5 linked regions of the Nothobranchius furzeri genome follow. The protein of the gene in region 1 purifies or fractionates together with the protein of each later gene. This does not show direct contact. Links are inferred from orthologs where the notes say so. Each region holds a gene or a part of one and is shown in the gene's direction. Other genes may lie near its edges.

Region 1 (4,709 bases):
AGGATTAGGGACACTGAAAAGAACATTTTATTTTCTTAGAATGAAGGGTTAGCATCAATCTTTTTTTTTTCTCTCTCCCATAAATACTGTGTATATACTACATGAGATTTATTGTAAATTTTTATTTTCTTAAAGTTAAGAAAAATAATAAAACCTTTACAATGTGGATATTCTTTATTTAATTGGTTTATGGGAATTTTTGGGTGAAAAACTGAAATCTAAACATTTTACTGGTACATTTTGTCATGAAAAATTGTTTAAACCTGCAAATTGATAATTTAATATAGATATAAACATGAGTTAGTTGTTTTATTGTTTTAGCCTCTGTTATTAGCAGCCATTGTGGAAGGTACTAAGGGCTTCAGACCCCTACTTTAGACAATCTGCTGTTTAGTATGAATACATTCACCACCTGTGTGTGTGGGGGGGGGGGGGTGGGGGGGGGGGCTTTGTCTTCCACATGAACCTTGTCTCCATTACATGAAGTTGTATTTTAGTCAGATGTTACAGGACTCCCATAAAGGGACTGAACAGCCACTACTATTTTACAGACGAGTATTTATCAGTCATTATTGTGAGTGCGAGGTTCACAACGGTGTGGCGAATAAAACTGGACTCGTCACTTTGCAGAAATGGTTTTCCCGTGTGTCTCATGGATGGGATGCTAATAATTTTTTGGGATGAGTTGGAATATAATTCCCTCCGAATGTGAACGCTGACTTTGAAGGAAGAAAGTATTTACGTTGGCATAACTTTGTAGCTTCCCAATTGTAAATGGAACTTAATAGCAGCAACACTGAGTGTTTTTCTGTTTGTGTGTTCATGTCACCGAATAGAAATTTTGACCCACATGCTTTTCGCTAGATTAAATCAGCACCTAGCCTATTTCCCGAGGGACGGTGATTCGGCTCAGCATTGAAAATCTTCCAGCCGCAGAGGACCAATTAGCTTTATCGTGGATCGGTTTGTGCATCACGTGTGTGTAATGGAAAGCTTTCGTGTGAAACACAGCCTGCCTGTTAACTAAAATTAGCCTCCTGCAAATTACATTATCTGGTCTATTTTCTGGCAAAAACAAAAGGGCCTTATTCAGTGCTGTAAGTGCGTGCCAGATCAATTTCAATCAGGTGTGCATTTCATAGCTGTGGGTTTTTAAGCTGTTCATTTGGTCGTCTGGCTGCTCACATGTCATCTAAATGTATTTCAACTTACTGAGGTGCAGTTTGCAACAAAGATTGGTGATATAAATTTATGGCATATGAATGGGAGATGAAATCTGTTTTTTGAGGCATCGCGGTTTTTCTAAATCGATTTTGTTTATGTTTATTTACCGCAATGTTGAGCAACATAAGGTGGAACAGGAAGTACAGCACAGACTTTAAAAAAATTTTTTTATAAGCACATAATGGAGGCACAATTTGCAGTGGCGTGTCCAGGCCTTTTAAAATGGGTGGCTCCAGTGGGGCACTAATTTATGCATGGGTGGCACCTATAGTTATACTTTTTGTTTTGATCTGCGGGGTTGTCACCCCTCACAAAATAATACATTTTTGCATTATTCTTCAACTTCTTGTTTTGAGGTGGTTAGCAAGCCACTTCTTGGTGCATTACCGCCATCTACTGGAGTGAGTTTGGACCAGGACTATGAATACTATTTTTGTCAATATGAAAACAATAATTAATAATACACAAATGTTCTGTAGGCCTGTGACTAGAAACTAATGTTAAAAGTCCATACTGTCGACTACTGTTTTAGGGGTTAACCCTTATTTTTTTGTGGACAACTTAATGTCAATTTAAGTGGAACTCATTGGGGTGGCCAGTCAGATTCCAAGAGTGGCAAATGCTGCTCCAGACCACTCACTGGACACGCCATTGACAATGAGCAATAAAAAGAGTGAACAAGTGAACATTTTAAACATGGCCGCCGAGCGAGACCAGTGTTGTGTCAAAAGGCCTTCCTTCTCCAAATATCGTCTGTTTTTCTTTTGTTTTTGATTCTGAATCAAGACAACAGCAAACATCATTCAAAATAATATTAAACCCACAACCATTTTTTGAATGAAAGCGGCCATTTGATGCACCCCTTCTTGTTCTTACCTTGAATCTAACAATTTTGTCTCATTAAGTTTTTATAGTGTAGTGATTTCAGTCACTTGAAGAATCAATAGCCCTGCTTTGATTCAGCGGTGGTCACATTAGCCGAAATGGCACTGTAAAATGTCTGAATCAGTGTGTGGGATGGGGGTGGGGGGATGGCTGAGCTCTGACTCTTTCCTGTGTAGTCATTTGAGTGGGCGAGTCCTATTTCGTTTGTTCAGCAGCCAATAGGACGCTTGCATTGCACTGGCTGGGCTGAGACAGCCTGTTGAATGCTCCAGCTGCGCTGGCCTCTGCAGACATGTTTCAGTTTTGGGAAAAGGGATTTTTACGTTTAACAAACCCAGCATGAGGCTGATCCACCTCCTGTCTCCTGCAGGGTGAGCTCGGAGCGCAGGAAGGAGAAATCAAGGGATGCAGCAAGATGCCGCCGTGGGAAGGAGTCGGAGGTGTTCTATGAGCTGGCCAAGCAGCTGCCTCTCCCCCACAGCACCAGCTCAAGCCTGGACAAGGCCTCCATCATGAGGCTGACCATCAGCTACCTGCGCATGAGGAACCTTCTCTGCAGTGGTCAGCATCTGTAGCGACAGATGATTATAAACCATTCCACTGCTCTGTTAACCATGTACCTGCAGTATGCTTGTCATATTTGTTATCTTGTTGACTTCAGAGTAATTCACTTCATTTACATGTAGCCTATAGTGGAAAACACAAAGGAGGTACTGCGTATTCTGCCATAATCTCTCTGCAGAAACACCTGGGGCTAGAGGAGTGGTTTTTCTGTGTCTGCAGCTGTTTGAACCGGTTATTTGTCCTTTAGCTTATCACCCACCTTGCTCCCTCTCTCAATGCTCCAGATAAGCCAATGGAAGAGGGGGAAACTGAGCTTGATGTTCAGCTGAACGGGTCCTACCTGAAGGCGTTGGAGGGCTTCCTCATGGTGCTGTCTGAAGACGGCGATATGATTTATCTCTCGGAGAATGTCAGCAAGTGTCTTGGGCTGGCGCAGGTGGGTCTGAAGCAGGGAATTAAAAAATAAGTGCACATTTTTAAGCTTTAAATGAATACTTCTTGGTAGCTCTATTTATATATTTGTGTTTTAAAAGTATATTTCTGTTTGTTTGCCTTTGCAGTTTGACCTGACTGGCCACAGTGTGTTTGACTTCACACATCCCTGCGACCAGGAGGAGCTGAGAGAGATGCTCCTCTGTAGAACAGGTGAGCAGTGTTGCACTGAAGAGTACAAATGTGTAGAGAAACCGAGACGCGCACACACAGAGCTCTCTGTCGGGTGTGTTGGTGCTCCAGATGGTAGAAAGTCCAACTCACTCTGTGGTCAGCTCTGCTTAGTAACGACACAAAAATCCACTCCGGTTTTGAGCAGTGGCTGAGTAATCTTCCGACCTTTTAATCATCAATAACAGATCTTTGCTTTGCTTCTCGTTAGTGAGATAAGTTTTGCTGAATCTTCTCTCTGCTTCGGTTCACTCTTACATTTAGGACCTGTGTTTTTTGTTATTTCTTTGCTCACTGATACCGCCTCGGCTCTAACTGCTGGTAGCTATTTCCATTTTATCCTCTAGCTCACCACAAGGCCACAGCATCAGAGCAAATGTCTCCTTTTGATGCAAATTTTATCAGTTGGCAGTTTGTAGATTGTTGAGTTGGGACCAATAAAAAAGAGCAATCTACTGCTGGCTTACTCTGCCTCACTCTGGATTCATATCTGTTTAATTTTGTGATTCCAGGCTCCAAAAAAAGCAAGGAACCAAATAATGAACGGAATTTCTTTCTGAGGATGAAATGCACCCTCACAAGCAGAGGTCGCACGGTTAATGTCAAGTCGGCTACATGGAAGGTAAAGAAGTGTTGAAGCTGTGGAGCATCTCGGGCTCCTAAATTAAAAAAGTTACTTAAAGTAAAAAATAATAATTACAGAAAGATTAAAGTTTCCCTCTTGGTTTGAAAACGTGTTTCTGTAGGTCCTTCACTGCTCGGGTCACATGTGTGTTCATGACCATCGAGCAGAGCAGATGGAGCCACTGCTCCCCTACCTGGTTCTGATCTGTGACCCCATCCCCCACCCTTCCAACATCGAGGTCCCTCTGGACACCAAGACGTTCCTCAGCCGCCACACCATGGACATGAAGTTCACATATTGTGATGAGAGGTGAGAGAATCTGGAGTCCCACGGGGACACCTAGTGCTCAGTGTGGGTACTACAACATTGTTTCTGTTCCCAGGATCACTGAGCTGATGGGATACGATCCAGAAGACCTGCTGAATCGTTCTGTGTACGAGTACTATCACGCTCTGGACTCTGACCACCTCACAAAGACTCACCACCACTGTAAGCACAAAGAGCATAGATCTAGAGTAAAATTGGAAAACGTCGCTGTTTATTTCGTGACTTTTGACCGTGTTTTCTGCTGTTTGCAGTGTTTGCGAAGGGCCAGGTCACCACAGGTCAGTACCGGATGTTGGCCAAAAGAGGAGGCTTTGTCTGGGTGGAAACGCAGGCCACCGTTATCTACAACAACAAGAACTCACAGCCACAGTGTGTCGTCTGTGTCAACTTTGTCCTCAGGTACTTGCACTAGTATCGTCAT
Region 2 (4,231 bases), on another chromosome or scaffold:
ATCTCCAGTAGTGGTCAGTGTTGCAGCCAAACTGAAGAAGCCTCTGACTGAAGACACTCTTCCGTTGTCGGACAGTCTTGTGAAGAGAATGCTCAGGGTTGTCCATCATTTTCTTGATTCTCTGGAGAATCCTTCTTTGCATCATCTCCTCCAGCGGTTCCGAAACTGCTGAAACTCTGGCTGAGTCCTTGAAAGGGCTTGGAGTTCCTCCATCTTGTTGGCCAGTGATCTCACATTGCCCGTTATGATCGATGGAAGAGATGGTTTGAATTTCCTCTTTCTCTGTCTCCGTCCCGCTCTGCACCCACACTTCTTGCATTTTAGCTCATTTGGGATTTGTGGCTTCAGTTGAGGTATTATTTCAGCCTTTCCAATGTTAACCAGCTGCTCCTGATTGTAAGCCAGCTTTTTGCCATGGTTACGCATCATAACAAATGCTCAAAAAGTAAAGAAAGCTAAAAAATAGCAGTAAAAATCCTCCAAGCTTCACAGCACCAGAAACAGAAAAGTAAAGTGTCCAAAAAATACAGTTTTTCTTGAGAAACTAGAAGAAAAACTGTCCAAGAAAAGGCAAAACTTACATATAGTCAACAGAGCTACTCCAACATGCAGCCACCCAGAGCAGCACAGTTCCTCGGTAAGAGAAAAATCAGAGTTTTAGAAATAACGGGACACTCAGTAGAGCCATTATATTATATTTTTTACAAGTGTATGTAAACTTCTGACCACAACTGTAAGTTGCAATGGCCTTCCAACATGTCCCACGCTAATTTTAACTATTACTGTTTAGTTGGAATTAGGCACCAGCTTCCTGTGACCCTACTAAGGAAGAAGTGGTTCAGTTTATGGATGGATGAATGGATGGATGGATGTTGTCCACGCAATTATGTGACGCATCTAGAACAGTCATTCCCAAAGGTAAATCACCGATGACAGCGAAACTCCCATCTATTCATTTTCTGTCTTTGCTTGTTTCCATGGTTGCTAGGAACTGATACCTACCTGCATCCTTCAGTAGATGTGAGGTGGGTGCAGCACACACCCGGACACCTCACCAGTTAAAATCACAACTTGCATGAAATATGAAACAAATCTACCAAAGGAAGAAGTAACATGTTTGTGTGATTGGAGAATCATCATCTGCTTGACTTTTAATGTGAGATAATGTTGCTGACTGGAATGCATTCCAATATTTTAGTGTCAAAGTTGCCAATTAGTGGTGAACTCTTTTACAAATGAAACAATGTCTTTCGAGAAAAAAATTGACATAGACAGCAATGGAATAGACAAGAAAGGGCAAATTGTTTGATTAATATTTGACACTATTTTCTTCAAACTTGTTAAAACAAAAAAATCAAATGCAAACTGAAAATATTTATTTATTTATTCAAATGTACCCTTGCACGTTCCGATACGGTAGGTGGCAGCATTCAGAAACTGGCATTTTAATCTGTCATTAAAACCATAGAAGAAGAAGAATACTAGGGAAGACCTGTAAAACAAATCAAACCCGTGACAGCGGAGAATACTAACTGGGTTTTTAACAACTACATATTACACAGAGGTATGTAGTATGTAAGAGTCCCTGCTTAACTCGGGTGATTTGGTTTGTTTGACAGCAGTGCCATGTTTTGTGGAGGTGTCAGTGTGATTGTGGAGAAACTACTGAGATGACTTGCTAGCGATAGCTGAGCTGCCATTAGCTAGCTGCTATCACACGGAACGCTAACTGTTTCCATCAGATTGTATGCTATTCAAACGGGAAGAAGTAGCTTAGCATGCTAGCATGAAGCTAGTTAGCCTTTTAGCATTGAATCCTATTTTGGGATTGGCATGCCGCTAGCCAGTCACCTTTACTTAGCTTCGTTTATCGGGACTGTAAAGAGGTGTGTTTAGCACCGATCCTTCCTTCAGGAGAGACGCGTACGTGTATGAATGAAACCGGCTGCAACGACTAAAACTGTCAAAGTGTTTCAGTGATATTGTGTGACGTTTATTCAACTGACACAAGAACACAGGGCCTACGTTTCTTTACTTGATTTAATAAATGACTTCAGTGAAAGCAAAATGAAAGTTCATGTCAGTTATTGTCAGTTATGATCGCAACGCGGACACACCAGACCGTGTGTCCGGTGTGTTTTGTCCCAATGAACGTTGTCTTTGTACATTGTGTATCTAATCTTACTATCACAAGCAGCTATATGTGAGCAGCTATATCTAATGCTGTTTTTATGCCACTGGTTTAGAGGTGTATAGTTTATTGCAACGTCATTGATGTCATTAGTGGAGCAAAGATATCCATTTAAAAACATTCATTGGTTTTCTTCATTGATGTCACTATTCAACGCTTTCCTTTTGATTTCATCACTTGTATTCTGTTTAATAAGGACGTATTACATTATTAGATTGGTGAAAGAAATGGTATTACCAGAAAAAACATGATAAAATACAGATTCTTCAAAATATTAAATATTCACCCGTAACAACGTATTCACTATTTTTATTCTTCTGTAGGATAAAAGAGGAAATCTACAATGTCTTTAAAGCCACGGGTGGTGGATTTCGATGAGACATGGAACAAGTTACTGACTACAATCAAGGCTGTCGTGATGCTCGACTACGTGGAACGAGCCACGTGGAACGATCGATTCTCGTATCCTAGTTTCAGAGAAGCCATTTAATGTGTCTATATTTTGGATTGTAAACATGTACGGTAAAGTACTTTACTACACTGTGTTTATGTTTGTATTAGTGCAAACTCTTCGTTCTAACCCTTGACTGTAACATTAGTGACATTTATGCCTTGTGTGTTGCGTACCCTGAGCCTTTAGGGGAGAAGTTATACACAGAGACCAAAATTTTTCTTGAGAACCACGTTAGGCAGCTGTACAAGGTGAGCGTTAAAATACAATTCTTGCATTCCTGTTGAACTTAGCAGTCTATAACAGCTGCTCTACCTGTTTATGTTTTTTAGAAAGTTCTGGAATCGGAGGAGAAGGTTTTAGTTATGTACCACATGTACTGGGAGGAGTACAGTAAAGGAGCCGACTACATGGACTGCTTGTACAGGTAACACCCAGGCTTTTGATCTCATTGATATGAGAGAGTCATGAGGTTCATTTATTATTTATTATTAGATTTATTTATAATGTTACTAAAGAGTAGCCTTCACTACACTGTTCTATCTGAGCAGAAGCATTATACAGTTGGAGAACAAACTGAAGCTTCCTAGTTCCGGATGTAAACAAATGCCCCTGATCTGATGACTTTGAATCTGCACCATCATTTTCCAGCACATTTTTACGGGAAGTTGTGACTTGACACGGGTGTTGACCTCTGTCAGGGAGAGCAGATTGATTCTGTTCTCAGGGTTCCCGCGGGGTCTTTAAAAGTCTTAAAAGCATTGAATTTAGGAATTTGGAAATCACACCTTAAGTCTTGAATTTTGACAACTGGGTCTTAAAATTTTTGCTGCATGTAAATTATCCATACTGTATTTGACCTCAAAAGTTATATTTGTCAACCACATTAATTTTTGTTAAATAACGTAACATACATAGTGGTGGAACCAACACCACACCATTTTATTTATAAAAGCGCTTTCAATATGGCATTACAATCAACCAAAGCGTTGTACAAAATAAAACAATAAAAGGATAAAATAGTCGAGTCATAAAATTAATAAAAAAAAAATACAACGAAGAACCGTTTCAAACAAAAACAATAAAAACAAAAAATGATTAAAAGTAGTCAGACCACAGATTTAAGATGGGAAAAACCACAGTAGAAGGAGGTATGACAAACTGTTGATGCTAAGAATCGAAGGCCATGGAGAAGTAATGCATTTTCAGCCTCGATTTAAAGATGGGAAGCGAGGGTGCTCGTCTAACCGGAAGGGGTAGTGAATTCCAAAATTTTGGGGCACAGATACAAAAAAGCCCTTTCCCCGCGAGTCCTCAAACGCGTCTTAGGGACAGTGAGGAGGAGTTTATCTGCAGACCTAAGAGCACGAGAAGGGTGGTAGAAGTGGAGGAGTTTGCTTAGATAGGGAGGGGCCTGACTGTTGATCTTGAACTGAACGGGCAATCAATGCAGTGTTTAATATAATTCACAATGCAGTGCAGCCTTGGGTCAGAATACTCTGAACACGTGACATATTCAGCTCCCGCGCTACAGCAGTGATACAAAATGGTAAACATAGCACAGACCTCCAACAGAGGAGAAGAGAAAC
Region 3 (4,709 bases), on another chromosome or scaffold:
TGGGTGGAGGCGCGTTTGAGCTAACTTACACATTTGCATCCATGTTTCTGAGGCTGTGCAGGCAGCTGAGAGGTAACCGTTTGCTACCATGGCAACAGAGCGGAAGCCCTCGCCTTTTATGGGCAAAGGAGGAAGAAAGCTGCTGTTGCTGTTGATGGCTTTACCTATTCAGGCAGAGGAGGATAGGTGGGTGGATGAAACAAGGGATTTCCTCTCTCTCTCTCTCTCTCTCCCTTTCTCTCTCTCTCTCTCTCACACTCCGTGGGCTTCAGAGCTCCTGAGCAGTAACTTTCTGCTGAAAAACGTTTCCAGCAGCTGACGGCGCATCAGCGACACATTCAGGAGTCGGGAACAAAACAAAAGGAACAAAGTGTTTTATTTTCATCTTTTATTTATTAAAAAATGTAGATTTATCCTCCTGAGACCTGAGCTTTTATCTGTGGAGCATTTATGTATTGTTGTTATTTCATTTCTATGTTTCTGTTTTCATTTTACATTTCTAGCTATTAGAGATATTCAGGATCTCACTTTGGTTTTTAACCGTCACAAGTTCAATAAAAATGATTAAGTTATTAGAAAAGGTTTCTTTAAATCTCTCTAAGAGAAACACCAGGTCAAAGGTCAGCATCATACATTATAATCCAACACGGCGTCTCAGGAAGATGATGTCATCTAGAAGGTGATTAGTTTAACTTTACTGCTTTAAGTAAATAAACAATCATTCAACATGTAAAGAAATAAATACATAGCAGAGCCTTATGACCCAACGTGGTCGTAGCTAACCCAGACGGACCCGAACCGGGTTCTGATGCTCCTGATCCATCCAGGCTACAGGCCAAAAGCTCCTGTCCTCATTCTGGATCAACGTTTGTTGAGACAGAACCTTCTGAACTAATCTAACCTCATTCTGGACTCTTAAACCATAAAAACAGCAAGAAAAACAAAAGAGGAAGGTTTTTCTAAATAAAAGGCTCTAAAAAAGAAGAGACTGTTTGAAAAATCTGAAATTTGCAGGAAAGATGAGTCACACAGAGACTTTGAGATGACTAAAATATCACTGATGAGCAATAGGATAAAGGTAGGAACAAGTAAAGGTTTTTCAAAGTAAAAGTCAGAAAATTTTCTTTTTTAATGATGTTGTGTAAAAAAAACATGAATCAGGTATAAATAAAGAGCACATAACTAAAATGATTCTGATTAACAATAAAAATACATAATAAATGCAAGTTAGAACAAGCAACAGCAGCTAGAAAAACCCAAATAAATCATCCGTTTATGTAGACGAGTTTATTTTTTTATTTTTATTTTTTTTTCATTTAACATGTTTGTTTAGATCTGCTGCAACGGGAATAAAGATGGGAATTCTGGGAAAGTTGAGCAGGATCAGAGCGAGGGGGTGAATGCTCTGGCGTCATTGATGTCCCCTGGCACGATGCCAGCAGACCCAGAGGACTGTAGCTTTGGGAACGCACGCACACACACACACCTGTAGATGGAGCCCACTTGGGACCTGCTGCAAACTCTCCTCTTTCTTGCGAGTTTCTGCGTCATAAACACCCGCGTCCACCAATCAGTGGGGATGAATGAGCGCATGGGGTCGGGGCCCCTGGATGAGTCGCTGGCAGCATGCTGGAATGTCTGAGTGATGTCACACGTGGAGCGAGGCACTCACCCTGTTAGAGGCACGCCGGAGCCATCATGATGAAGCTCGTTAGAGGAGAACAGGAGTTTGGTTTGTGGGATCTGTCACATCCAGCTGGTTCTCATCCTTCTGCAGATGATCGGGAAGCCCAGCGAGTCACCCGTGGGTCGGCAGCACCAGAGCCACCCGGAGGAGACAGAGGAGGAGCTGAGGGAGCACCAGGACGGAGGAGTACTGCCGCTGGGGGTCACCATCAAGCAGGAGCCCCCAGACCCACAGGAGCTGCAGGAGGAGGTGCTGCAGCAGCACCTGGAGAGACAGGTAGAGCAGGAGCTGCTCTTCAGACAGGTAAGATGAGTTAAGCAGCTGAATGATGTGTTTACACTGCCACCTGCTGGTCACTCGCTGCACCCACACTTCCTCCTGCCCTGTTATCATCTTTACTTTTTAAATACTACTGTCAGAGAAGAGTGGATTTGTTCTGATCTGACCAAGGGTTCAGGTGGGTTTTACAGGTTAAGCCTTAAAAAAGGGTTCAGTCCTTCAAAATAAGAGTCTCTACATACACAAATACCTCAACTCATCTGAAGCTGATTAGAGCTGGTTTAGGGTGAAACTCAAAACTGCTTTTATAAGTATCCGATGTTTTCTCCACATTTTGACTTTGATAAAAGTAAAATAATCATTACGAACAGACATGAACTTTCTGTGGTTTTAAGGTGGCAGAAGGAGGTCATAACACACGGAAGGGTCTTTTAAATGTGATCTCTGGGCCGTGTTTCCCAACTGATGAATAATCCTGGTTTCCTCCTTTATTCTCCCCTCTGAGCAGCAGGCTCTCCTACTGGAGCAGCAGCGGATTCACCAGCTCAGAAACTATCAGGCATCGATGGAGGCGGCCGGTTTGTCCGTCTCCTTCCCAGGACACCGTCCCCTGTCCAGGGCCCAGTCGTCTCCAGCTTCAGCGTCCTCGTTTCCTCTCAGCGTCCCTACAGCTGATCCTCCCGTCAAATCGCGCTTCACCACAGGTTTGCATCGTCATCATGTCTCCCTTCTGTTTCTGAAGCATTAGGGACGGAAATGTTTAAAAACCGAACCTTCTTCTTCAGATCTCCTCTCTTAAGTCTCTTTAAGGAAGCTGTTGGTGTCGGTTTTACCTGCATTAACGCAGAAGAGAAGGAGATATTTGTAGTTGGGCCGTTTTACCCCCAGAGCTGCCCGGATCAGAACCACAGACATTTGTTTGTTCTGAGGTTAGAACTCAGGTTGTGGTGAAACTGGGCCGTCTGCTTTCCCACCCAGGTCTGGTGTACGACTCCCTGATGCAGAAGCACCAGTGCATGTGTGGGAACACCAACAGCCACCCGGAGCACGCCGGGCGGATCCAGAGCATCTGGTCTCGGCTGCAGGAGACCGGGCTCAGAGCGCAGTGTGAGGTAGGAGCCGTGGGTGCTGACGGTCTTGCTCTGAGGCCAGATGTGTGAAAGCTGTTGTGTTTGTGTGTTTAGTGCATCCGGGGGAGGAAGGCCACTCTGGAGGAGCTGCAGACTGTCCACTCTGAGGCCCACGTGCTGCTGTATGGAACCAACCCGCTCCGACAGAAACTTGATTGTAAGCCTGGAGCTCAGAGTGAAAACACTTTGCCGCTGATCTCCTCTAACGGACGTTACATCTGATCTGCAGGTTCGGTAACACCCATGTTTGTACGGCTCCCGTGTGGAGGAGTGGGGGTGAGTGACGGCATGAAAGATCCGACGGTTTTATTGTCTAAATGTATTTAACCACTGCAGCAGTTAAACATCTGGGTGTTTCAGGTGGACAGTGACACCATTTGGAATGAGGTCCACTCGTCCAGCGCCGCTCGCCTCGCCGTCGGCTCGGTGGTGGAGCTGGTTTTCAAAGTGGCCACTGGAGAGCTGAAGGTAAAATAATACTCTCATTCTATTCAAAAATGATACTTCAGCCATTTTGATTTGGGTTCCTGTTGGAGGAAAATCACTTAGGGAGGTTTTCTGACCTACGAGCCAAAGCTGTAGTAACTTAGTAACTGATGAGTGGGTTACTAACTGATCAGTAACTGAGTAACGGATGAGTGAGTAACTGAGAAACTAATGAGTAACAGAAATGAGTGTGTAACTGTGTAACTAATGAGTAACAGAAATGAGTAACTGATAAGTAACATCATTGTTAAAGTTTACCAAATGAAACTCAAACTTCTCTGAAGTTTCGTAGACTGGAGCTTCATAAAGATGACACCTGTGCTCAGACTAGCCGTTAGCTCATCAATCCTTTAGCATGTAAATACTGTGTCTTCAAACTGAGGCTATTCAGGAAGCTATCTACATGGTAAATGGCCTTTTTTTTGATACAGCACCTTCTAGAGTCCTGGAACCCCCAAGGTGTGTTACAACACAATCAGTAATTCACACATTCACACACTGGTGGTGATGAGCTACATTGTAGCCACAGCTGCTCTGGGGCGCACTGACAGAGGCGAAGCTGCCAAGCACAGGCGCCACCGGTCCCTCCGACCACCACCAGCAGGCAAGGGGGTTGTGTCTTGCCCAAAGACACAACGACAGACTGAGTGGGGCTCGAACCTGCAACCTTCTGACTATGGGGCGAGCACTTAACTCCTGTGCCACCATCGCCCCGTTTACATGGTAAACTTTCCAGATTAGAACAAAAAGACGACATCAGTAAAATCTTACATCTGTAGCTCAAATGTCTGAATTAGGGCTGTCACGGTGTGAAAATTTAACCTCACGGTTATTGTGACTAAAATTACCACGGTTTTCGGTATTATCGCGTTTTTTTTTTAACGTGCTACATTTTCACACAATTAAATAAACCCTGTATGTCAGGGAATGTTGTCCTCAGTTTGTGTCTAAATTTTGCCTAAAATGTGTTATTTTGTAATTGTGTTGTTTATTTGTTTACATTTTTCCCCTTTAGTCTTTAAAATACCAATATTTGCCCATAACTTCTTATTTTTTGTCTGTTTGATGTCATCATTTAAAAAATATTAGATCAGATGATACTCAGTACTCAAGTAGCCTTCTAATCA
Region 4 (5,421 bases), on another chromosome or scaffold:
CATCGAGCTAACATGTACGATTAAAAACACACCGGAAATAATTACGCCGTGTTTATAAAATAAAAGCAGCACGTCTCGTGGTGGAAGGCAAAGTGGCGTTCTGTGTTTTATTTTGAAACAAATGTTAACCGAAAGTACTTTTATTTTGAGAAGCTTAACTAGTGTTAACCCCTAACCTCACTGAGGGTCCAACAGAAACATCATACAAACATGACAAGTAAAAATATTTATTAGATTTTTGAGCATTTGTTTGGAGCTTCATTTCAGTTCCAATTTATTAAATAAGTTGTAAACACAGTGTTTTATAGTATAAATTAAGCTTCCGTTTAGACAAGTCACATTTCCTCATAATTTAAATTCAAAGCAAACGATACTCAAGGTCAATTCAGGTCATTCAAATGCCATCCAGTGTGACTTGCTGTTCCAAACACACTAGGCCCACTCATTATCTGATTCATTCCAGTGACTTTTTTTCCGGAACTGCGCTGCTCTGGGTGGCTGCATGTTGGAGTAGCTCTGTTGACTATATGTAAGTTTAGCCTTTTCTTTAGCATTTTTTCTTCTAGTTTCTCAAGAAAAACTATTTTTTGGACACTTTACTTTTCTGTTTCTGGTGCTGTGAAGCTTGGAGGATTTTTACTGCTATTTTTTTTAGCTTTTTTCACTTTTTGAGCATTTGTTATGATGTGTAACCATGGCAACAAGCTGGTTTACAATCGGGAGCAGCTGATTAACATTGGAAAGGCTGAAATAATACCTCAACTGAAGCCACAAATCCCAAATGAGCTAAAATGCAAGAAGCGTGGGTGCAGAGCGTGAGCAAAACGGAGACACAGAGAGAGAGGAAATTCAAACCATCTCTTCCATCGATCATAATGGGCAATGTGAGATCACTGGTCAACAAGATGGAGGAACTCCAAGCCCTTTCAAGGACTCAGCCAGAGTTTCGGCTGTTCGGGAACCGCTGGAGGAGATAATGCAAAGAAGGATTCTCCAGAGAATCAAGAAAATTATGGACAACCCTGAGCGTTCTCTTCACAAGACTGTCCGACAACGGAAGAGTGTCTTCAGTCAGAGGCTTCTTCAGTTTCGCTGCAACACTGACCGCTACTGGAGATCCGTCCTGCCAACAGCCATTGTAATATACAACAAATCTTTGATGGCTTGATTATTATTATTATTCTGATCTACTACAGCAATCAATTTCCCTCTGGGATTAATAAAGTATTTTTGAATTGAATTGAATTGATTACATGCTGGTCCAAGTTCATTCAGTAGTGATTAACTTGACCCCTATTAATTCCAATTTAGTTCAGTTATTTGCAGTCAAATCCAGTCATGTTATGATAAAATTTAAATTGTTTCATTAAACACTATGTGTAAATGTGCATTCAACGCATAATTTTACCACTTTATATTCCCAAACAGCAAAATTCTGCTGCAAGAAGAACAATTCGTTTGATTATCTTTGGTGTGTTCTTGCTGTGTTGAAATTCTAATTCCATCTTTTAGTTTTTTTAAACACAGAAAGGTTTTATTTACCTGGGTTTTGCAGCCGCAAACGAAACGTTGCAGGTAAATAAAATCTTTCTGTGTTTTAAAAAGAACTAAAAGATGGAATTAATTTGATCACATTTTAAACACACCGCTCACTTCAGATCAATAACACTAAAACTGTGTCTTGCGATGGGATCAACATATTAACGTGCGCCTCATTGTATGATTTTTCAGATAAATGCAGTAATAATGATTATTAGACTTTTTTATTCATTGCAATTTGTTTGAATTTACATGAGCAAATGATTATAATTACTTTTAGACAATGATTGCTACTTCTGATAGTTTGAACATTTTATCTAAATATTATTTAAAAATATTTGTTGTTCACTGCTTTCATTAGAAGCGCAACAACAGCATAAAAATATAAAAAATACTATTGTTTCTCTAATCTGAAGGGAGTTTTATTGTGAAAAAACGTCTTTTCGTCACTTCCGGCTAATGTCGAATTCCCATAACATCTAACGAGAGCTGCAGCGGAAAGCTGAAGGTACATCTATTGTCAGGAAATTTGAGCCAAAACACAGAAAATAAGAAAATGTCAGACACGGTAAGACCCCAGTGTTTGTGGAAAACAACAAATCTTCTGTCGGAACTGTTCAGAAGACGCACAAATTGATTGTTTTTTTAGGCTCGTTTGGTTATCTAACATGCTACTAGCCAGCTAACGTAGCTTCAGGGACACAAAACACAGCTCTTTTTTGACCTTTTAGATAAAAATTTTGCTGTTATTTTTTAAAATGTCCAACAGAAACTGCGTGTTATTATATTTTATAGTCAAGTCGTTCAAAAAGATGAGCGATTTTGTTAAACAAACCTTCGAAGTGAACACTCAGGCCTGTTTGAACGTGGGTGCGTGTCTGTATTGTGCTGTTTATGTTGTTTGTTTATTTTTAAGGAGACAAAACCATCCAGTCAAGACGGCGGCGATAAGAAGGATGGCGAGTATATAAAGTTAAAAGTGATTGGTCAGGTAGGTTTTAATATCATTACAGCTAGTGAGATGGCTTTAGTCTGGTTATTCCTGCTTATTTACTGATTCACTAACTCTTTTTATATAACGGCCCTCCATGTAACCATTTTTTTAAATGGTTTTAAATTCATTTTGTAATTTAGTTTGAATTTACTGGCTGTAGTTATGTCCAGATTGGTATTAACTGCTGCAATTCTTACTGTTTATGCATTTTCTCAAATTATTTTACATCATTAGACTTTTTGTAAAACAACGCAAATGCTGCTAGAGAAGCATGCAGCTTACCTTAGTCTAGGCCAGGGGTCTGCAACCTTAACCCCCCCCCCCCCCCCCCCAATAAATAACACTTATTTACAACTACAGCTGTTGCAGAATCCTTCTGTAAAAAGTAATTTTATTAGACAAGACAGCATTATTTTTATAGCACATTTCCTCCACAGAGGCAACTCAATGTGCTTTATAATAAAGAGACAATTTCCATCTTTCACTTCTTTTTACAACACAGAAAAGGTTTCATTACCTTCAAAGTTTCGTTTGCGGCTGCAAACATCGTCAGGCTGACGCCGATGGTGGCGTCACTTCCTTCGTTTAGCGGGCAGCAGAAGACATCGTCGCCCTCTGCTGCCCGCTCTCCCCTCTCCGATGATGCAGTCCCATGCGCGAGCCAATGAGTAAACTCCATCGTCTCTGTTCATGGTCCCACATCCTTATCTCGATAGCTTCTTTTATCCATCTTTTGTTTTTCTGTTTGGTGTTTATGATCCTTGTGTTATCCCACATAATGGACTGGGACAACACAAGGATCATAAACACCAAACAACAGAAAAACAAAAGATGGATAAAAGACGCTATAGAGATAAGGAGACATGGATGTGGGTCCATGAACAGAGTTGATGGAGTTTACTCGTTGGATCGCGCATGGGACTGCATCATCGGAGAGGGGAGAGCAGGCAGCAGAGGACGAGGGCGACAACGTCCTCTGCTGCCCGCGGATAAACGAAGGAAGTGACGCCACCATCGGCGTCAGCCTGACGATGTTTGCAGCCGCAAACGAAATGTTGCAGGTAAATAAACCTTTTCTGTGTTTTAAAAAGAACTGAAAGATGGAATCTGAAACTAAACACAGCAAGAACACACCAAAGATAAATAAAGAGACAAAACAAAAACACAAATGAACATTAGGGTTACATAAAAAGAAAACATTGAAGACTAAAGCTGGAAAATTACCATAATATCAATGAAACATTGAGAAGAGAAATAATGTGGTCAGTCAGGAATGACTAAGTAGGTGTAAGGAGACTAAAACTAAGGCAGTAAAAACTGGTACAATGAACTACAAAAAACTTGTTGAATGTCTCTTTTTCTTTTAGAGAATTGGGCCACTGAAAAACCAGTTTTTCCCCTCAGAATTCTGAGAAAAAAAAGAGACAAAACTCTGAGATTAAAATCAGGATTCAGACATTCCCCCTGAGATTATAATCAGAAATATATTTTGTCATATTCTGTAAATATTTTTTGAAGAGATTCTGCTATTAAAGAGCAAGTCACCCCCAAATCAACTTTTTTTTTCTGATAAACTATATAGTGTGTCTAATCACGCTGCAGACACGTGTAGTCAATAGTTTTGTACTTTAGTGCATTTTAGTTCAAATTGTAATTTTCTGCCTAAAACTGTCAGTGTTGTGCCGTTGTCAGGTAAAAACCCTGCACTGCATTAGAATCTAAATCTGCCATCGCTATTGGCTAAGAGGTATGCTATGATGTAAACTGGTCCTTATGATGTCACAATGCCGTTGTGAGCCTGTGTGTGTATTTGTTAGTGGCTCCGCCCTCTCGGTCTGCCAGGCAACAGCATTTGTTGCATTTTTCAAACATGAAGAGGGAGTGAAGTAAGTTTCTTGTAGGGGGTGACTTGCTCTTTAAGTTATAAAATTTAGAAAACAAACGTGTGCGTACACAGTATCACTATTTTTTCTTTGGATGTTGATATTTGTTAAAAATGATGTAAAAAACACAAATAGATGTAAAAATAAGTACTGTTGTGGATATTCAATGCAATTATTCCTTAAAAAACTGAAATGCTGCCTAAACCTGCATTTGTTTTTTTTTTTTAAAGTTAAATAGATTTGGAAAACACATTATTTTATATTATGAGCCAAAGTTCTTTGAGCCATTGTGGAAGATCCAGAAATCCTTTTGGCCTTGTCGTATAGGGTGTGTGATTTTTTTAATGCAACACGTTTCCCTGTATACATCAGACGTCATATGTGTGATTGTAATCCTTCTAAATGCTTGAATTTCAACATATTTTAGAGGTTTCTAACAGGCTTGAGTCTGATCATGTTGTAATTTGATCATAGAGACAGTTCATGCAACATCTCAACAACTCACCTTGAAAATGCTTTAATCTGACAAACATGTAACAAGCAGTAAATGAACAGATTCTCATTGCTGCCTCACCCTTTTGTTTGTGCAACAGGACAGCAGTGAAATCCACTTTAAGGTGAAAATGACCACACATCTAAAGAAACTCAAAGAGTCGTACAGCCAGAGACAGGTACGATCAGCTGTAGCTCCTATTGCTGCTCGATTCTTTACTCTAAACCAAACAAAGAGAAACTCGACGAACCCAAACGTCTTCATGTGTCCTCTGGTGCTTCTCTCACAGGGCGTCCCAGCGAGCACACTAAGGTTTCTGTTTGAGGGACAGAGAATCGCAGACAACCAGACTCCAAAAGAGGTAAACATGGCCGCCGTGGCCTTATTATTCTGTCATGTTGATGCTGAAACTGTTCTTAGTGTGTTCATTCTCACCGATCTGTTTTGTTTACGCTCTGAACCTTTCACTGACTCGTTTATCTGGGCTGCTGTCGTGTATTTTATAGTCACGG
Region 5 (4,489 bases), on another chromosome or scaffold:
CCTCAACAGGTTAGTTTCCTGCAGAGCCTCCTCTGTCGAACACCTGGAGGAAATAATAACGCAGCGAAATCTCAAGGCATGTCATCACCCAGCCCGAAGAAAATGCTTGGGCTTGGCTCGTCGGACCCAGCGCACCAGCGCATCCTCGGCTATTTGAGCTCGAGCTGCTGGAGCTGAATCACAAATGTTTACCGAAACAGAAGGCATGTCTCTTAACTTAACCCACTTCACATGGTTGTGACTCACAGACCAGCAGATGTTCTGCAGTGTAGCGCACAATAACGACCTCTGGTGTCCAACCCCTGTAATAAAGGTACATGGTGGTTATGAAAGCAGCACTTTTTTCTTTTTTGGCTAGAACTTTCATAACTTGGCATCAAAGATGAAGCCTGGTGGATCAGAGTTGAACCCGATCCCGACTGGGATGTATTAACAAGACTTCACCTCATTCTGGTGTGCATTTCTTCACAGTTGAAGCAGTCGTTCTTCTGTGAGCAAACAGTGTGGAAAGAGCTGAATGGCGAGCGGCGGGACATGAGAACATGTGGTCCAGTCAGTAGACAGGCCGACCTAATCTCCCCTCCTCCCCCTGTTCCCGTCACTCCCTGGCTCTCACAAAGGCTTCATTCATCCTGCCTCTGCCATACTCTGCCTACATATTTTTCTGCTAATTAGTATAGGCTCGTCAAATGTCTTCTTTTCTCCCTTTGTCTCTGTTGTCCCTGTTTTTATTGTTGCCCTTTCCTGTGTGCTACGATGGAAAGTGGGAAAAATAAAGCTCTGTTTTACTTGCAGAAGGTCCCAGAGAGCACTTTTGGAGCTCTAAATAACACATTCAGATCATCGACATATATACGATTCAGATGTATCGTTTAAAGGTGTGGAACACTGAACCATTTAAAATGTTGTTTCTGATTATGATCAGTCACTCTTGAGTTTTTCATGCAGGCTGAACATGAAAATAGTCTCCTACACCCATCTCCTGCGTTTGTGTCTGATAGAAAATAGACGGTGAAACTGTAGGATTTGAAAAGTCTGACAGATCTACGTCACATTGTTCCTTAATATTCATGGACTCACCTATGTTGACTCGTGAACATCCCTGCTAGTAGAAGCTAACCGTTAGTGTTAGCACCTCCACACAGCAGAAGCTCCTCCAGGCTTGTGTTATTTGTAGAGATAAAACGTCTACGAAGCACGCCAGTGGTAGTCGAGTTGCTCCGAGGCAAGATGTCCAAATATCAGGAAATAGGACTCCAAAACCTGCTGTTTGAAGCTCGGCTGTGATGTGGCTCACCTTTAGGTCCTAGAAATGGTGCACCCGTATATTTCTTCTCCCTAGAAAACGGCGTGCAAGGCATTCATTCCTACTAGAGACCACTGCAAATGTACAGTGATCCCTCGCTACTTCGCGGTTCGTTTATCGCGGATTCACGACTTCGCGGATTTTTTCTTTGGAGCCTTATTCAAGGGAAATTCGCCAATTCGCGGTATTTTTCAGCAATTCGCAGTATTCTATGCGAAATATCAAGAAATTCCTGTTTTTTTTTCATCAATTTCATCATAAAATGCACTTTTTGTAATAAAACTATAAAAAAAAACAAGTAAAAATACAGTACTATGTAAAGGGAGGGTTTTAAAAGTCTGAATACTGAATACGTACCTGTTAAATAAATACTGGAAATATGGTGTCCCTACTTTGCGGATTTTCACCTATCGCTGCCAGGTCTGGAACGCATCTACCGCGATAAATGAGGGATCACCTGTATTGATTAAATGAGTGTTCCACACCTTTAATGTCGGAGAGCAAGTAAAAGGTCAGAAATAAAAGCTTGTGAGTTTTGCGTTGATTTAAATCCTGGTGGACAGCTAATAAGCCACAATTTGTCTCTACCTCTTTTTTCCCCATTCCCAGTGGGACCTACCACTCCCGGGATGAGAGCACAGACAGCGGATTGAGTATGAGCAGCTACAGTGTTCCTCGCACTCCAGATGACTTCCTGAATAGTGTGGATGAGATGGATACAGGTGAGTTCCTCACTGGGCGTAATTACCATGTAGTTGCTGCTTTATAAATATTTAAATAGAACGATAACTCCTGTTTTTAGTATCCTGGGAGCGGTTACTGCTAATCTTTCTATGCTGTTAAAGGAATCTTTGTCAAATCTTCCAGAATACAAGATACCAAAATTGCAATTTTAGATCATAATTTAGATCAGCTTCTCCATTTCCCTCCAACATCAATAAGAAACAGTCCCATCTGATTGCAGAATGCTTTTTTTTAGCATCAGGGTTTATCTTTAAATGCAGCTGTTGAGTTTGAAGGTTTTCCCAATTATGAGGCTACATTGATCACACTGGTGGAAATATTTTTTTATGTTGGAGGACTCTTACGTCACACTCTGCCAAAACTTTTTACCATCGTTTCTGCTTTTTAAAAATTCTTGCCGTCTGCAATTCCGAGCAGGCCTCTCGTCTGGCCACCAGGATATTTCCCGGTGCTCCCGATGGCCAGTCTGCTACTGCCTGTTATCTAAATGCATTTGGGGTCATAGGTTAAGGTGGAAAAGAGGGTTTGACTTTTATTTATTTATTTTTTGAGGGGTTGCATTTCAGCTACCGTACCTACACGAGTCTATCAGGATTTTTCCACTCTAGGACAAAAAACCAACATCAAGGCTCCTCGCACAGACCGAATATATTCCTGCTCCGTTTTCTGTGTATTTTTGCCCTAAAACTCTAGATTTGCTTAAACATGAAAAACATTCCGGTTTTATCATTTGCCGGAAAATTAAAAGATGTTTATCACTTTCATTTGTTTTTCTCCTCAAGCAGATTGATTTGGTTCAGTTGTTTTATCTCAAACTTGTCATCTTTTCCCATTCATCAGGGGACCAACTTCCGCCCTCCATGGCAACGCAGCCCAACCGTTTCCCTGACTACCTGGACGCCATCCCAGGAACAGACGTGGATCTTGGCACCCTGGAGAGCGAGAGCATGGCGGTGGAGGGCGAAGAGCTGATGCCCAGTCTGCAGGAGCCTCTGAGCTCCGACATCCTCAGCGACATGGAGTCTGTGCTCGCAGCCACCAAGATCGACAAGGAGAGCTTCCTGACATGGTTATAGAGGACCGGAGCGGGGCCCTCTGAACTCCTCCTGTCTCAACAATCTGAACATCTGCCTGGCCACATCTGTGAAGGAATCCACGTTTGCTCTTTTACCAGACATTTCAGCGAGCCTCTGAACTTCTCTCCGCGTGCAGGGCTAACCTCTTTTCAGACAGTATTCTGGTCTTTTTTATTTTTTATTTTTGTCTGTGTCTTCAAGGCTGGCCTGTGAACAGACAATTTATGCAAGGGCCCCTAAATTGTTCCCAGGTCTTTTTGGTGAGTGTAGGGCTTATTTAGTCGGAGCGTAGCTGAACTGGGCAGATGCACGAACTCTTCCGTAAGGACTGCCTTTTACTGCTCATCACCTGGAGTCTCTGGAGCCTCTCTTGTCTTGCAGTATAGCACGAAGCAGCACTACATAACTGTGTTTGGGGCTTTTAGTTTCATAGCTTTATATTTGGCGCCTTTTTTAAAAAACATAAACAAGCCTGAAAAACCAAAAATGATGTATGTGGAGCATAAAGAACAATACTGATTTGGAGTGACGGTAACGTGAAGCCCATTTTGGACGTGTTGGCTTTGCTTTTTGGGGCGTGGGGGGTGGGACCAGGGGACCGACTACATTGCTGCTTGGCTGTGCCAGCGAGCCTAAGTTAAACCTTTGATCGATCAAGTGCCTTCAGATGTATTTTTTTTTTTAGACGCGAGCGACTCGAATAAATACCCAGTTTCTGTAATGCAACAAAAAGTATCAGGCTGTATTAACTAATATAAGCCGCATGTTCTTGTTTGTGGATCAATAATCAAAAACTATTTTATTTTATGTACGTAAGGTGGTTTGGGGGATCTTTTTTAACCTCTAGTGTCTTTGTATCATCTTTATCCGAGCCTAACACTCGTTTTATTAGTTTTTTCCTTTTTCTTTTATCTCGTTACACCTGTTTGGTAGATTTTTTCTTTTACTCGGATTCATTGAAACATTTTTGTTATCAGGATCAGCTGTTCTCACATCACAAGATTCAGTCAAGCAGAACACTTTTTTTTAAAACATAACCAATCGTCTGATTCTTCTTTTTTTTTTGCTTTACTATACATATATATATAAATATATATATAAACGTATACATATTAGTGTTTTTGTTGATCACGAGCAGCTTGTTACTATATCTGCTTAAACATGAACCAAAAAAAAAAAGCAAAAAGAGGCAGATCTATAGACTCTATAGAGAACTTTCCTCAGATCAGTTTTAGCATGTGACAGTATAAACGAATTTTAACGTTCGAAACGGTCTGAAACCCCGTGTGTGGTGCTGTGTTGAGTGTTTTTATTGATTACAGCTTGGGGGCAAGTTTAAGCAGGCTTTAGAGTCACGTTACAG

What was found.
Region 2: the proteins of hif1aa (region 1) and cul2 purify together in Homo sapiens (affinity purification with western blotting; 7 studies listed by BioGRID and IntAct, with this or other methods). This does not show direct contact. The link is inferred for Nothobranchius furzeri from reciprocal best matches to the Homo sapiens genes HIF1A and CUL2.
Region 3: the proteins of hif1aa (region 1) and histone deacetylase 4 purify together in Homo sapiens (affinity purification with western blotting; 4 studies listed by BioGRID and IntAct, with this or other methods). This does not show direct contact. The link is inferred for Nothobranchius furzeri from reciprocal best matches to the Homo sapiens genes HIF1A and HDAC4.
Region 4: the proteins of hif1aa (region 1) and sumo1 purify together in Homo sapiens (co-immunoprecipitation; 3 studies listed by BioGRID and IntAct, with this or other methods). This does not show direct contact. The link is inferred for Nothobranchius furzeri from reciprocal best matches to the Homo sapiens genes HIF1A and SUMO1.
Region 5: the proteins of hif1aa (region 1) and yap1 purify together in Homo sapiens (affinity purification with western blotting; 3 studies listed by BioGRID and IntAct, with this or other methods). This does not show direct contact. The link is inferred for Nothobranchius furzeri from reciprocal best matches to the Homo sapiens genes HIF1A and YAP1.

What each region holds. Positions count from the first base shown.
Region 1 is NC_091758.1:31,049,473-31,054,181, reverse strand, and holds part of hif1aa (hypoxia inducible factor 1 subunit alpha a), read left to right. Parts: intron 1-2,479; coding exon 2,480-2,670; intron 2,671-2,957; coding exon 2,958-3,109; intron 3,110-3,233; coding exon 3,234-3,318; intron 3,319-3,848; coding exon 3,849-3,958; intron 3,959-4,082; coding exon 4,083-4,270; intron 4,271-4,343; coding exon 4,344-4,450; intron 4,451-4,539; coding exon 4,540-4,687; intron 4,688-4,709.
Region 2 is NC_091747.1:38,640,973-38,645,203, reverse strand, and holds the start of cul2 (cullin-2), read left to right. Parts: upstream 1-1,431; 5' UTR 1,432-1,564; intron 1,565-2,514; 5' UTR 2,515-2,534; coding exon 2,535-2,653; intron 2,654-2,790; coding exon 2,791-2,893; intron 2,894-2,974; coding exon 2,975-3,069; intron 3,070-4,231.
Region 3 is NC_091754.1:47,188,232-47,192,940, reverse strand, and holds part of histone deacetylase 4, read left to right. Parts: intron 1-1,777; coding exon 1,778-1,990; intron 1,991-2,474; coding exon 2,475-2,670; intron 2,671-2,944; coding exon 2,945-3,078; intron 3,079-3,150; coding exon 3,151-3,253; intron 3,254-3,325; coding exon 3,326-3,372; intron 3,373-3,456; coding exon 3,457-3,564; intron 3,565-4,709. UniProt on the Homo sapiens protein: Responsible for the deacetylation of lysine residues on the N-terminal part of the core histones (H2A, H2B, H3 and H4).
Region 4 is NC_091743.1:83,213,469-83,218,889, forward strand, and holds the start of sumo1 (small ubiquitin-related modifier 1), read left to right. Parts: upstream 1-1,958; 5' UTR 1,959-2,095; coding exon 2,096-2,107; intron 2,108-2,455; coding exon 2,456-2,530; intron 2,531-5,009; coding exon 5,010-5,087; intron 5,088-5,198; coding exon 5,199-5,270; intron 5,271-5,421. UniProt on the Homo sapiens protein: Ubiquitin-like protein that can be covalently attached to proteins as a monomer or a lysine-linked polymer.
Region 5 is NC_091753.1:45,030,778-45,035,266, reverse strand, and holds the end of yap1 (transcriptional coactivator YAP1), read left to right. Parts: coding exon 1-9; intron 10-1,915; coding exon 1,916-2,028; intron 2,029-2,890; coding exon 2,891-3,126; 3' UTR 3,127-3,335; downstream 3,336-4,489. UniProt on the Homo sapiens protein: Transcriptional regulator with dual roles as a coactivator and corepressor. Critical downstream regulatory target in the Hippo signaling pathway, crucial for organ size control and tumor suppression by restricting proliferation and promoting apoptosis.